Arabidopsis thaliana: one gene and its partner. The protein of the gene in region 2 interacts with the protein of the main gene of each other region in a pairwise test. Each region holds a gene or a part of one and is shown on either strand. Other genes may lie near its edges.

Region 1 (7,205 bases), on a different chromosome or scaffold from region 2:
CACAGTTAGATGCATACATTTAAACTAGACTAAATATCACAAGTGTACTGACAAACTGACAATACTTTAATATTCATCTTGACAATCTTTTCATAATGAAATTGTTAATTTTCATGCAAATCATACATTAACAATCTGCTGCAATTTAATAGAAGGAAAAAGTCAATGTTGCTACATTACCTAAGCTCCTAATTAATGAACTAAAGAAAAAAGAAACATCTTTATACCTTTAACTACAGAATAATACACAATGTCTCTCCTCAAGCGCATTCATATGAAAGAATCATCAAAAAAAACCAAAGCAGTAACATTTTTTATAGCTTCATCATTCAGAGGAAATGACTTCTTTTGGCATAAATCACTGCCTCCAAACGAAATCCCCTAATCGTCAATTTGAATAAACAAAAGTAACTTGATTGAAAAAGAAGTACTTTCCTAGTGAAGAACACAAAGTTTCCTGTTTCCACTTAGACAAACAAATCTATAAAAAAGAACCAATAAGACAACATACATGTTCACTCGGTACAATCCTACATTGAAATTGACAAATCCTCGTTATAATATAAGCAAAACCCAACAAAGACTAAAACACCCTTCATCATTAGAAATCAAGAACATGCAAAGAACAAGCAAACAAAAAAAACTAATCCTCTACCGAAGCAGCAGCAGCATTATGCTTAACTAAGTGAGAGAGACTCACTTGAAGTCACAGAGCATTAGGTTTCCACCATCTTTACAGATAAAGCACCAATCCTCACACTCCTTCTCATCCTCCTCCTCATCATCCAAAATCTCCACTACATTCATATCTCTCGCCATCGCTCTCTCTCTCTCGATCCGATGTTACTTGGCGGTGACCTAGTTAGTGGCGACAGAGCAAGAAGAAGAAAAACTTATCTCTCTAATTCTGATATTAAGGCTGAAAATTAGCCAAATAAATAGCTGTTTGAGTGACCTGTGTCAGTATTACTAGATTCTTAAGGATTCGCTTTGACCAATCACCCAAACGCCAACCTCTACTTTCCTAAAGTCTCTATTATACCCCTATCGTATCCAGGACACGTGTCCATTAAACACAGTTTCATAGGGGTTATTTCGTAAATTGAATAAGTCTTGCGTTCAGATGGACCTTTTTTTTTTACTTAGCGATTGCGTTTTGTGACCGGGAAGTACAATGCTCGCAAGTACAAAAGATATCGAACCAAGTTTTGTCTTTACCTAAATTTTGGATTATAAGTGATATTTGTTGTTAAAATTAATTTACTAATTATAACATTTTTATGAACAAATCATTTACAAGTTATAAGATTTTAATAAGTAAGAAAAGTAATCTGGCATTTGGTTTCACAATGTTCAAATTTATCTTTCTTTCTTTTTTTTTTGCTCTGAAGGCTTTTTTCTCACTTACCTAAGTTCATTTTTTCCTGATAAAAATAGAAAATAAATTTGAGTTTGTTTTATTTGTGAATGTTGATGAAATTTAACTTTTGAAATATACGTTCTAGATTGAGATATGATCATCAGATCTTTTTGCAGATCGAACAAAAGTCTCAATAAGGTGAAGAATCGTATGACAACATATAAAGGGAGGAGCATAAGAACATGTCCAACTAATCAAGCATATTAGTATTGATATCATTATTCCGTATATATTCTTAGTCTCTTCTTCCTCACATTATGTTCTCTTTCTCTTTTCTTCACCTAATTTTCCTATTAAAAATATCTATCTTTTTTTCTCTTCTGCCTACATTTCTACATGATGTTTCAACATAGCTCTTAAGGGAAATAACCTAAAGTTTTCTAAACATTGATGTTTTACTACGTCTTTTTTGAAAGGCGGTAACTAAATTTGTTTTTTTTTTTGTTTTTTAAAAGGATATCAAAAGATCAATTACTTACCTTATAAATGTTAAAAATGTAAACTTCTCAATGTTTGAATTTATTTACTCAAAAACAGATAGTTAAATATATATATATATATATATAGTTATAGGTTATGTTAAAACTATTTTAGTTTGTATCATATCCTTTGATTTGAAGGTCAGAGAAGAAAGGAATATATACAAAAACGCCCTTTTGCATTGTCATCGTCCAGAATAGTGGAGTAATATAACACGAACAAGTGGAAGTGTGGAACCTTCTTACACATGCTTCTGTCTCTTCCTAAAGCATAAGCCATTTTCCCAAACATTATTAAGTTCTTAATTAAGTCATTGGTTTGTTTTCTATTACTAATTCGTTTAAATCATTCTTTATTACTTTATGTTTATTTTGGGCCATCTATATCCTTTTTTGTTAAAATTGATATCCTTTTTAGCCCCAATCACATCCCAAGTTACACACTTGCAAAAGAGATCTCACCCAAAATAAAGAAGCAAAAGAAGATGGAAAAATACACCTCCATTAAGAAATCAAAGATGTTTCAACTTAGTGGGATTCTCTTTCTCTCAAAGCAGCATTTCTTCATCTTCTTTTTACATCATAGAGATAAAAATATGAAAAATACCTTTTGTGGGTCCTTTATAAGCACTAACTTCTCTTTCTTTAGATGATTTTACATTATTGTTGCTTTTATTGGCTTCATTATTATACAAATCCTCCATTTCTCTCTTCAACCCCATGTTTTCGTTCTCTTCCGTTTAGAGTGTTTTCAGCTCCTCTATGGCTCACTCGGGTATTTAAAAGCTTTGTTTTACTTATACTTTAATGCCTATCTTTCTCCATTGTATATTAATTAGGTTTCTTGGTTTTTGTTGTTTATTTTACATAACTTTATTGTTTCTTTTAGTTTCGAGTTACAAAATATTTGGTACATATTTAGGTGAAACGGAGAGGTTTTTGATCATCAAAGCAAAGAGTCAAAGACAGAATTATAAATTTTGTTGTTCTTGATACTTATAAGCTTTCATTTTTCTTAATGTTTTCGGTTCAAATGAGCTCTGATAGAGGAGTTATGGATTGATCTGACAATGTTTCACATCAGAAAGCAATCAAAGCTGTTAGTTTTTAAGACATAATTAGACCCACAAATCGGTCTTTTCTTTTCTTTGCTTTCTTATGTTTAGTTAACATAGTTTGATCACACAAGTTATGTGTTTCTTGTATAGTAAGTTAACTTTCTCCATCGATTTGCTGCAATTTAGACTATAGATTCTGCAGCAGAAAAGAAAAGCTGTTTAAACTGAGATTGACTGATTTAATAAACTGCAGGGAACGGTGAAAGTTTCCATGATCCTCTTCGAGGATTCATTCAAAGAAATTGCTTTAGATGGAACAATCAGAAATTGATCTTACAATGTTTCATGGCCTTAGCTTTTGTGGGAATCACTTCGTCAACAACTCAACCAGATATCGAAGGTCTATATATAATTAGCCTTTGTTTATAAATCATTAATGATCTTGTAGTATTAACTCGCTTCTTGATTCATTTGCTAGGAGGAGCTCTGTTGCAGCTCAGAGATTCGCTTAATGATTCGAGCAATCGTCTAAAATGGACACGCGATTTTGTGAGCCCTTGCTATAGTTGGTCTTATGTTACCTGCAGAGGCCAGAGTGTTGTGGCTCTGTAAGTACTCTTAAAGATCACTTCTCAAGTTTTAGTTACCAAGATTTCTCATCATGTTGAAAAACTTGTTTTGTATCAATCTGTAGAAATCTTGCCTCGAGTGGATTCACAGGAACACTCTCTCCAGCTATTACAAAACTGAAGTTCTTGGTTACCTTGTAAGAGATCATAAACCAATTCCATTACAAGTTTCTTTTTAGGTTCCATTACTCATAGTAATTGTTCTTGATGCAGAGAGTTACAGAACAATAGTTTATCTGGTGCCTTACCAGATTCTCTTGGGAACATGGTTAATCTACAGACTTTAAACCTATCAGTGAATAGTTTCAGCGGATCGATACCAGCGAGCTGGAGTCAGCTCTCGAATCTAAAGCACTTGTAAGTCCACTCAAAAACTCTTTAGGAACAATCTTTGAAATGTGACTCTGTGAGAGCGTTTGGCTAAGATAAAACATTGAAATTTAATTCACAGGGATCTCTCATCCAATAATTTAACAGGAAGCATCCCAACACAATTCTTCTCAATCCCAACATTCGAGTAAAAAAAACTATTTTCCTCATGAATCTACCTAATTAGTCACAGTGACTTGTCAGTACTATAATCACGTTTTTGTGATTTTTCTGCAGTTTTTCAGGAACTCAGCTTATATGCGGTAAAAGTTTGAATCAGCCTTGTTCTTCAAGTTCTCGTCTTCCAGGTTCTTAATTATTTCTTCTTTCTCCAATTCACATACAAACAGAAAGACTTAACTTAGTATCTTTATGTTCAGTCACATCCTCCAAGAAAAAGCTGAGAGACATTACTTTGACTGCAAGTTGTGTTGCTTCTATAATCTTATTCCTTGGAGCAATGGTTATGTATCATCACCATCGCGTCCGCAGAACCAAATACGACATCTTTTTTGATGTAGCTGGTAAGAAGTTACATATACTTATAGTCAAACATCTCATTAGATCAATATGAACTCTTGAGCCAATATCCTTTTTCCTTAAAAAATGCAGGGGAAGATGACAGGAAGATTTCCTTTGGACAACTAAAACGATTCTCTTTACGTGAAATCCAGCTCGCAACAGATAGTTTCAACGAGAGCAATTTGATAGGACAAGGAGGATTTGGTAAAGTATACAGAGGTTTGCTTCCAGACAAAACAAAAGTTGCAGTGAAACGCCTTGCGGATTACTTCAGTCCTGGAGGAGAAGCTGCTTTCCAAAGAGAGATTCAGCTCATAAGCGTTGCGGTTCATAAAAATCTCTTACGCCTTATTGGCTTCTGCACAACTTCCTCTGAGAGAATCCTTGTTTATCCATACATGGAAAATCTTAGTGTTGCATATCGACTAAGAGGTATATATACTTAGCTTCTCTATCACTTAACCAAATAATAGATTCTATAATGTGTGTGTACATATGTGACATTGTAGATTTGAAAGCGGGAGAGGAAGGATTAGACTGGCCAACAAGGAAGCGTGTAGCTTTTGGTTCAGCTCACGGTTTAGAGTATCTACACGAACATTGTAACCCGAAGATCATACACCGCGATCTCAAGGCTGCAAACATACTTTTAGACAACAATTTTGAGCCAGTTCTTGGAGATTTCGGTTTAGCTAAGCTTGTGGACACATCTCTGACTCATGTCACAACTCAAGTCCGAGGCACAATGGGTCACATTGCGCCAGAGTATCTCTGCACAGGAAAATCATCTGAAAAAACCGATGTTTTTGGTTACGGTATAACGCTTCTTGAGCTTGTTACTGGTCAGCGCGCAATCGATTTTTCACGCTTGGAAGAAGAGGAAAATATTCTCTTGCTTGATCATGTAAGATTGACTTCTTTTACATGCTTTCTTCTATCTGAAAAGACTTGAAACTAATCTTAAGTTGTTGGATGTGTATGAAACAGATAAAGAAGTTGCTTAGAGAACAGAGACTTAGAGACATTGTTGATAGCAATTTGACTACATATGACTCCAAAGAAGTTGAAACAATCGTTCAAGTGGCTCTTCTCTGCACACAAGGCTCACCAGAAGATAGACCAGCGATGTCTGAAGTGGTCAAAATGCTTCAAGGGACTGGTGGTTTGGCTGAGAAATGGACTGAATGGGAACAACTTGAAGAAGTTAGGAACAAAGAAGCATTGTTGCTTCCGACTTTACCGGCTACTTGGGATGAAGAAGAAACCACCGTTGATCAAGAATCTATCCGATTATCGACAGCAAGATGAAGAAGAAACAGAGAGAGAAAGATATCTATGAAAACAAACTTGCATTACAGAAGATAAACTTAGAAAGTATTTTAAGCTGCTAATTGTATTGAACCAGGTGGGGAAAACGAAGCAAACACACAACGTTGATTTGTGTAATAGATGATATGATATACATAACTAGTTGTGTTTTGTATATATATGAATTTGGTTATTTTCGTATGATAATGATGATCATGGTTGTTATGGTGGCAGTGTTTGCTCTGTTTTTCTACATACGTCGTCGTTTCGTGTGTGTCCCGTAAAAATTATAAACTTCTGAATCCAGTCCTTGAAGTTTAGTTGGTTTTTCAATTTTACCTTCAACTTTTGTATTCTAACAATTTACCCCACTTGTGACATTGTTTATGGCTAATTTTACGTCGAGTATTCTTGTTTTTTTCTGCACGTCGAGTATTCTTGTTTCTAGATTGTAAATGATGTACTATCAAGAAAACTAATTGTCCAGTCTATGTATCTCATGAAATTATTAGACTAGTGATTTATTGGAAGGGATGATACAGTGACAGAACAAAACAAATCTAGATGTTTTTGTTGTAGTGACATGGATTCAGAGTGTAGATTCATAAGAACAGAACTTTCATGGATTAAGATTTATTCTTAAACTCTAGATCCTCTGGTATTAAAATACAGATTGTTAATTTTGGTGTTGTGTACTTTGGGTGCGTTAAATGAAGGATGAGGCAAGGAATGGGACCGGAGACAGACGTAAGCGGTCAGTGAAAAAGAGAACTCCTTTCTAACTTCCTCGTAAACCGGGCTGTTTTTCTCGGTTCTTGGTGCTTGGTTTCCGCTGACACCGACATGTCCGGTTCCCAGGTAACTTTCTTCTCCACCGTCCGATTCAACTATGAATGAACGTCCAGATCTTCGTTTTCCTTTTCTATCTCTTTGGTTTGTTATGACGTGTTCTTCGGTATTTCTCCTGAGCCTCTCAGACGTACCCTAAATAACAAACAACGGGTCCCCAAAAAAAAAATTTTATATGCAAAATTTTATTAAATACGCAATCAATAGGGAGACAATGTTACAAGCTATATGTATGCATATTTACTCCCTACAAAAAAAAATATGTATGCATATTTTACATGTTGAAAAAAAAAGAGTTATCATGTGAAAAAGTGGGATGATATTCAAAATATAGTAGATATATCAACCATGATTCATATTAGTATAGATAGATTTTGTTACTAGTATAAAACCTATAACATTGAAAAAAAACATTTCTAACCAGTATTAGTATTAGTATATACATGACTTGGTAAAAAAAAGAAATGTAAATCATACTACTTTAATTTATAACTAAAAAAAAGACAAAATTTAGTAAGTCGTTGAGGTGGAGCCAAAAGCAATAATAAGGTAATAATAAATCGAGAGGAAG
Region 2 (6,472 bases):
AATAGTAATTATAATGAATTGCATTGCTTTTAAAACCTTAAGGGGTCCTTTGATTTTACAAAAAGGACATTTTTCCTTTCTAGGACTAGATAGCTAATTTTTATTGGCCTTAATTGTTTGCAGATTCAAGATTATGATTGCAATTTTTCTAAAATGAATCCATTATCCAAGCATCTCAAACATCTTTTTTTTTTCTGTTAATCGTTATTCAACACAATGTTTTTTAATCTATCGTTGCACTAGTTGTAAAAACGCTATTTTCTTTTAAATCTAATTTAACATTAAATTAAAAAAATAATAATGTAAATGTCAAACCTTTTGTATATATTTTTTTTTTTGTATGAATAAATGTCAAACTTTTTCTTCACGTTTACGTTAAAAGTAGTTTACAAAAAGCTAAAGAGTATTACAATTTTAAAGATATTTTCTTTTGAACATCTCACTTTGCTTGTTGTTTGCATCCAGATGGTGACGCGGCATTAGATTAAACTATGCCTATATGGCATGGTTTATGAATTTTGTGAGAGGTTACTTGTCGGTACATCCTGCATGTTGCTGATTTTAGTAAACTAGGATAGTGATATTTTGAATCGTTGTTTATTGCCTAGACGTCTTTTACGAGTGTTTAGCGATCCATTAAGTTTTCTTTGTCATTTTAGGTATTACAAACTCAAAAGGATGATTTTTTTTACATGTACTCATCTAATAGGATTAATGATTTTATAATACACCTTTAATAAAACAAAAACACAATTCCTGGTCGCTATTAAATTCTCACCAACAAAAATATAAATACACAATCAACCGCAACCAACGAACTTTCTAAATGTTAAAGATTTAACAATTACAATCAGAAGAATGGTTAAAAGAGAGAAGCAGAACTTAATGGATTAATCACAAGGAACAGATGAATCAATAACCCTTTTGTAACTAAACAAATAACCTATTGATTACTTATCAGATTTCTTGCCAAGTTTCATCCATTTGAATCCAAGTATGGCCTTCCCGATACCGCTTTTGCTTCCATCTTCCTTCTTCTTCTTCTTCTTCTTCTTCTTATCGTCTTCGTTACTTGAATTTGGAGGAGGATCAGAGTTGTAATCCCATTGATCAGCCCATGATAGTCCAGAATCCATCTTCTTCGTCTCTCTTTAAGATTTTGTGGAATGAGAAGGTTTAGAAACAAATATGAGGGTGAAAGAAAGATTTTGTTTTACTTATTATAGACAGTATTGGTTTGACACAATGTCTATAAGTTTCTTGGTTGCTTATTTTTGGGGTTTATCTGTTTTTAGTTGTGCCTCTTTGCCCTTTGGTTGGACAAAGAATCAACATCTTTCACCTTTGACTGTGAAAACCCTTCAACAAGAAAAGAACCCCTTACCTGAAACACTTGAATTTTTTTGAGTAATCAAAAACTATACGCTTCAACGGTTCAACCTAATTTCTCTTTTACATTTTATTCAACATTTTCAAAGGATAGTTGAGTAGATTAATTACTGTTGATAAAAAACGACATACAATTTTTTTTGTCACGCTTTGAAATTATATTATTACGCTTGTTTCGTTTTGTGACATTGTACTACCAACAATAATTGTTTTTTATAGTCAACCATATCATTAATCGGAGCGGTCCCTTGATTCGTTCGAGCGACCCTCTAATCAATTGGGAATACTGTGACAAATAACCATGCATTTATGCTTCAACAATTTTAGTTTTCCTTCATAAATATCACGGGATGCAAGTGACGCTAAGCATAAATAGTTCGTCTGTTTCATTGACTTTGTAATAGAAGATGAAAAAAGAAAATATATAGATATTTATCTTCCTTTTGATGTCATGACGTTTCGTGATTTTGATTTACAGTGTCAAAAAGAGAGATTACGCTAGCGAAACGTCACTACGACCAAGATTTAGTTGGAGTATTTATACTCTGATCATTCTCAATTTCTCATCATCGACATTACAAATATGCAAAATTAACAAAAAATAATAATATATACAACTCATCACCTTATATATCTAAGAGCGTTTTGTCTAACTAATAATATGTTAGCATTTTTATGCCACTATTAGTAATTTAATAATATAGTTATTGCTTAAATATATAGATTTTTAACATATTTTCTCTTAGATATATATATATATATATATATATATATATATATATATATATATATATATCAAGATATAAATAAATTCTACTAAAAGAAAAACAAAAAAACAGCTAATTTTTTGTCGGTCAACTCAAAATAATCATTAAATGAGAAAGATATATTTATCTATCGAATAAATATTATTTTATTTTTTAAAAGCGAAACACTCGTTAGATCAGGTGACCATGAAAAGAAAAATTCAGCTCTATCCAAAAAAGAAAATAAATCATGCAAATACAGGGAGAAAAAAGTACGAAATTACAAAAAAAAGCCATGTCAATGTAAAGAGAATCATTGAATCAAGAAGAACGATTGGGGGTAAATTAGTATTTAAATTGGTCTAAGCATGAAACAGCTTCCAGCCGATGGTGCCTTATGCCTCGGGCAAAAAAAAAGACCAAACACACTAAACAAAACTACCAAACAAACTAACAAACATTCCCTTCAAATTCGGAAAAGTCAGAATCTCATCACCTATTTATTACACTCTCATAAACGCTAACAAATCGTTGAATAGAATAATTAAGCAGGTAAAATCCTAAACCGTCAGAGAATATCTATCCTCCTCTTAAATATCACTCTTATCTTTATCCTCCTAAAATCTTCTTAATTGTATCTAATCTCTTTCTCAAAAACCAAACACTATCTCTCGATTATATCACAAGGAGATATGGGGAACAGTGAAATGTCAGCGAGTGAGGTTGCGGCGGCCAAGCAGAAGAACGTCGACGATTGGTTACCGATCACATCTTCCAGAAACGCTAAGTGGTGGTACTCTGCTTTTCACAATGTCACCGCCATGGTTGGTGCTGGTGTTCTTAGCTTGCCCTACGCTATGTCCAATCTCGGATGGTATACTAATTTGTTGAATCTGATAATCTTAATCTCCTTTATGTTTTAATCCATGATCTGATCTGAGTTTTTGATGTATTACAGGGGACCTGGAGTGACGATTATGGTGATGTCATGGATCATAACGTTGTACACACTGTGGCAAATGGTGGAGATGCATGAGATTGTTCCAGGGAAGAGGCTTGATAGGTATCACGAGCTAGGTCAACACGCTTTTGGTGAAAAGCTTGGCCTATGGATCGTCGTGCCGCAGCAGCTTATCGTGGAGGTCGGTGTTGACATCGTTTATATGGTCACAGGAGGAGCATCCCTCAAGAAAGTCCATCAACTAGTCTGTCCCGATTGCAAAGAGATCAGAACTACGTTTTGGATCATGATCTTTGCTTCCGTCCACTTTGTTATCTCTCACCTTCCCAATTTCAACTCTATCTCCATCATCTCACTTGCCGCGGCTGTTATGTCCTTAACGTAAATCTCTTCAACACACATATATTGGTTTTACTTTATAACTTGAACAGAAAGTTAGAATAATTAACCTAGAGCATGCCTTGTGGTTCAAGGCTAGGGATCAAAATTGTTGTATATTTTCCGGTTATTAGAAGAAAAACTTAGCATAATCCCAAAATATGTAGAAAACTAGGTTTTATTGCCTGATGATTTTTATGATCTGTACAGTTACTCAACTATTGCTTGGGCTGCATCCGTGCACAAAGGGGTACATCCAGATGTGGACTACTCTCCTAGAGCATCAACCGATGTTGGAAAAGTATTCAACTTCTTGAATGCGTTGGGAGATGTGGCTTTTGCTTATGCAGGTCACAACGTTGTGTTGGAGATTCAGGCCACAATCCCTTCGACTCCGGAGATGCCATCCAAGGTCCCAATGTGGAGAGGAGTTATTGTAGCCTACATTGTAGTCGCCATCTGTTACTTCCCTGTAGCATTCCTCGGCTATTATATCTTTGGAAACAGCGTTGATGACAACATCCTCATCACTTTGGAGAAGCCTATCTGGCTTATTGCTATGGCTAACATGTTCGTGGTTATCCATGTCATTGGAAGCTATCAGGTATTCTTCCACATTCTAGTACTTCTATATTTTTGATTGAAGTAAGAATTATTTCATGAATATTGACACCTTTGTGTGGATTCAGATATTTGCAATGCCAGTTTTTGACATGCTCGAAACCGTTTTGGTCAAAAAGATGAATTTCAATCCTTCTTTCAAGCTCCGCTTCATTACTCGTAGTCTTTACGTCGGTAAGAACCCACTCCTCATTTATACATATGTAACGTCATCCTCCTACTCCATTCATTAATTAATCTCATTTTCATCAATGTACATTGGACCGTGCAGCTTTCACGATGATTGTTGCGATATGCGTCCCGTTTTTCGGTGGACTACTCGGCTTCTTTGGAGGATTCGCCTTTGCCCCAACAACTTACTACGTATAGTACAAATAATCCCTTCATTTCTTTATTGGTTTATCCATAGATTAAAGTTGTGAATTTATATACACATATTAATTTGTAACTGCAGCTTCCATGCATTATGTGGCTCGTTCTCAAGAAACCAAAGAGGTTTGGTCTATCTTGGACAGCTAACTGGGTATGTTCTTTAGTAATCAATGGTACATAATCTATAGCTCTTGTTTTCTTGTAAAGTAACAATTTTTGTGTTTTGGTTTGTTGGTGTTGTGGATTATGAAAAAATACAGTTCTGCATCATAGTAGGAGTTCTTTTGACGATCCTTGCCCCAATTGGAGGACTCAGAACCATCATTATCAACGCCAAGACCTACAAGTTCTTCTCTTAGATGGATCACTTTTTTTTGTAACCGCGCAACCGAAAAATAAAATCACGGCATGTCTAATTTTATGTGACTGTCCGTTTAAGTAAATTTTATGTTTTCATTGTAGTTAAGACAATTATCTTTGGTTTCTTTTGATAATAAACTCTTTTTCAAATAATTAATCTCCATGATCTGGTTCTTCTAATGTTGTGATTTCGTAATTTATGCAAGAACGTACACGGGAATTTTATGACACGTCTAGATGCAATGTTACCATGGTCAGCACGACACTGCGTTTTGTTTTTCTTTATGGTTTATGGATACATTTACATTAGATGATTTGGATCTGTGGTTAGATTTAATCTTAATCACGGGGTTTTCACCTGTCAACAATATGACATGACTTGAAAACGAATTTATACTTTCCAGTACAGCATGCATGAGTGATGAGAATAATTTAATAGCTTCGTTTATTATTTTGGCTTTTCAAATATCTTGATTTATACGTTGTTTTTGTTGATACGTGAACCTGTGATTCTGGTCGTAACTCGTAACGCCACATGTACCCTTTTGTGGAGAGTTTACTTGTAAACGGCAGACCAAGAACAAAATGTCCTTTCATCAATTTCTATCTAATAGAGAAATCGGCAATTTTGGTTATAAAGCTCTTTGATGAGTCTTCTCCTTGTCCTGCCTTAATTATCCTTTATGCTAGGCTCGGCTTCATCGTTACAATTTGCTCCGATCCAGCTTTGATTAAACTCGCTCTATATGTACATGATCTTCTTGTTTCTTTGTCTATGCATGTATTTTGTCATACAATTCTTTCTTGATTAATATTAGGAGAAAAACATAGAGCTCAGTAGTATAAGTATATACAACCAGTCCACGCATTCTGCTGCTTCCTCTTACCACATTACTTTGGACACCATGGATCTCACCGCTCTTCAACCTTTTGAGACTACAGTTTATGACATATCATATGGCAAATTAGCTTTATCGTGCCGTATTGCTAGACCTCTAAGTCATTACGAGACTTTTGTAGTGGTGCTTATACAACAAGCAAGCCATCTTACTAAATGATCATCATTGATGTAGTTAAATTCTTATTAAATTAGAGAATTATTTTTGTTTGTATAGTTAAATGTTACAATATAGTTTTAAAATATTATTATGTTAAAATTTTACCTTGAATTAACACAAAACAAATTAAAATTTTGATTTTGAGATATAGTGAAATAGGATAGGAAAATAGTTATTTTCAGGAAGAGAAATTGTGGACGGTACATTTAAATAAATTAATATAATTAATTAAAGAAGCAACAATTATGGTACAAAAAACTAAAGTTGGAAAAAATTCTTATAAAATACATGATATATCTAATGACTAATTTTAGTCAAACTACAACTAATGAAAAGTACATGTGTTATTAAAATAGAATGTCAAACACCACATTATTAGACATAGTTTAGAAAAATGCTTGTTATATTATATATATAAAAAGATTTAATCTATGGAGTACCTTTTTTTTTTCTCGGGATATCATGACATTTCTAAATTGAAGTTAAAATACATCTCCCCCTCTCTTGGTATGCCAAATTGTTTAACAAACGACAATGCATATCTCATTACAAATGCCTAGCAACTATGAGACAACACTCCATCATTT

What was found. The genes of interacting proteins can lie anywhere in the genome.
Region 1: the proteins of LHT2 (region 2) and AT5G63710 interact in a protein complementation assay, tested with the Arabidopsis thaliana proteins (one large-scale study listed by BioGRID).

The regions. Positions count from the first base shown.
Region 1 is NC_003076.8:25,496,814-25,504,018, forward strand, and holds AT5G63710 (Leucine-rich repeat protein kinase family protein), read left to right. Parts: upstream 1-2,697; 5' UTR 2,698-3,090; coding exon 3,091-3,106; intron 3,107-3,119; exon of another isoform or gene 3,120-3,210; coding exon 3,211-3,357; intron 3,358-3,435; coding exon 3,436-3,565; intron 3,566-3,651; coding exon 3,652-3,723; intron 3,724-3,799; coding exon 3,800-3,943; intron 3,944-4,037; coding exon 4,038-4,103; intron 4,104-4,192; coding exon 4,193-4,263; intron 4,264-4,335; coding exon 4,336-4,479; intron 4,480-4,567; coding exon 4,568-4,909; intron 4,910-4,986; coding exon 4,987-5,381; intron 5,382-5,464; coding exon 5,465-5,785; 3' UTR 5,786-6,018; downstream 6,019-7,205. Other genes in the region: AT5G63700 (zinc ion binding / DNA binding protein), read right to left, coding at 701-819.
Region 2 is NC_003070.9:8,649,917-8,656,388, reverse strand, and holds LHT2 (lysine histidine transporter 2), read left to right. Parts: upstream 1-2,473; 5' UTR 2,474-2,827; coding exon 2,828-3,009; intron 3,010-3,093; coding exon 3,094-3,477; intron 3,478-3,684; coding exon 3,685-4,078; intron 4,079-4,163; coding exon 4,164-4,269; intron 4,270-4,366; coding exon 4,367-4,458; intron 4,459-4,549; coding exon 4,550-4,618; intron 4,619-4,727; coding exon 4,728-4,826; 3' UTR 4,827-4,982; downstream 4,983-6,472. Other genes in the region: AT1G24405 (uncharacterized protein), read right to left, coding at 951-1,136. UniProt on the Arabidopsis thaliana protein: Amino acid-proton symporter. Transporter with a broad specificity for neutral and acidic amino acids. Basic amino acids are only marginally transported.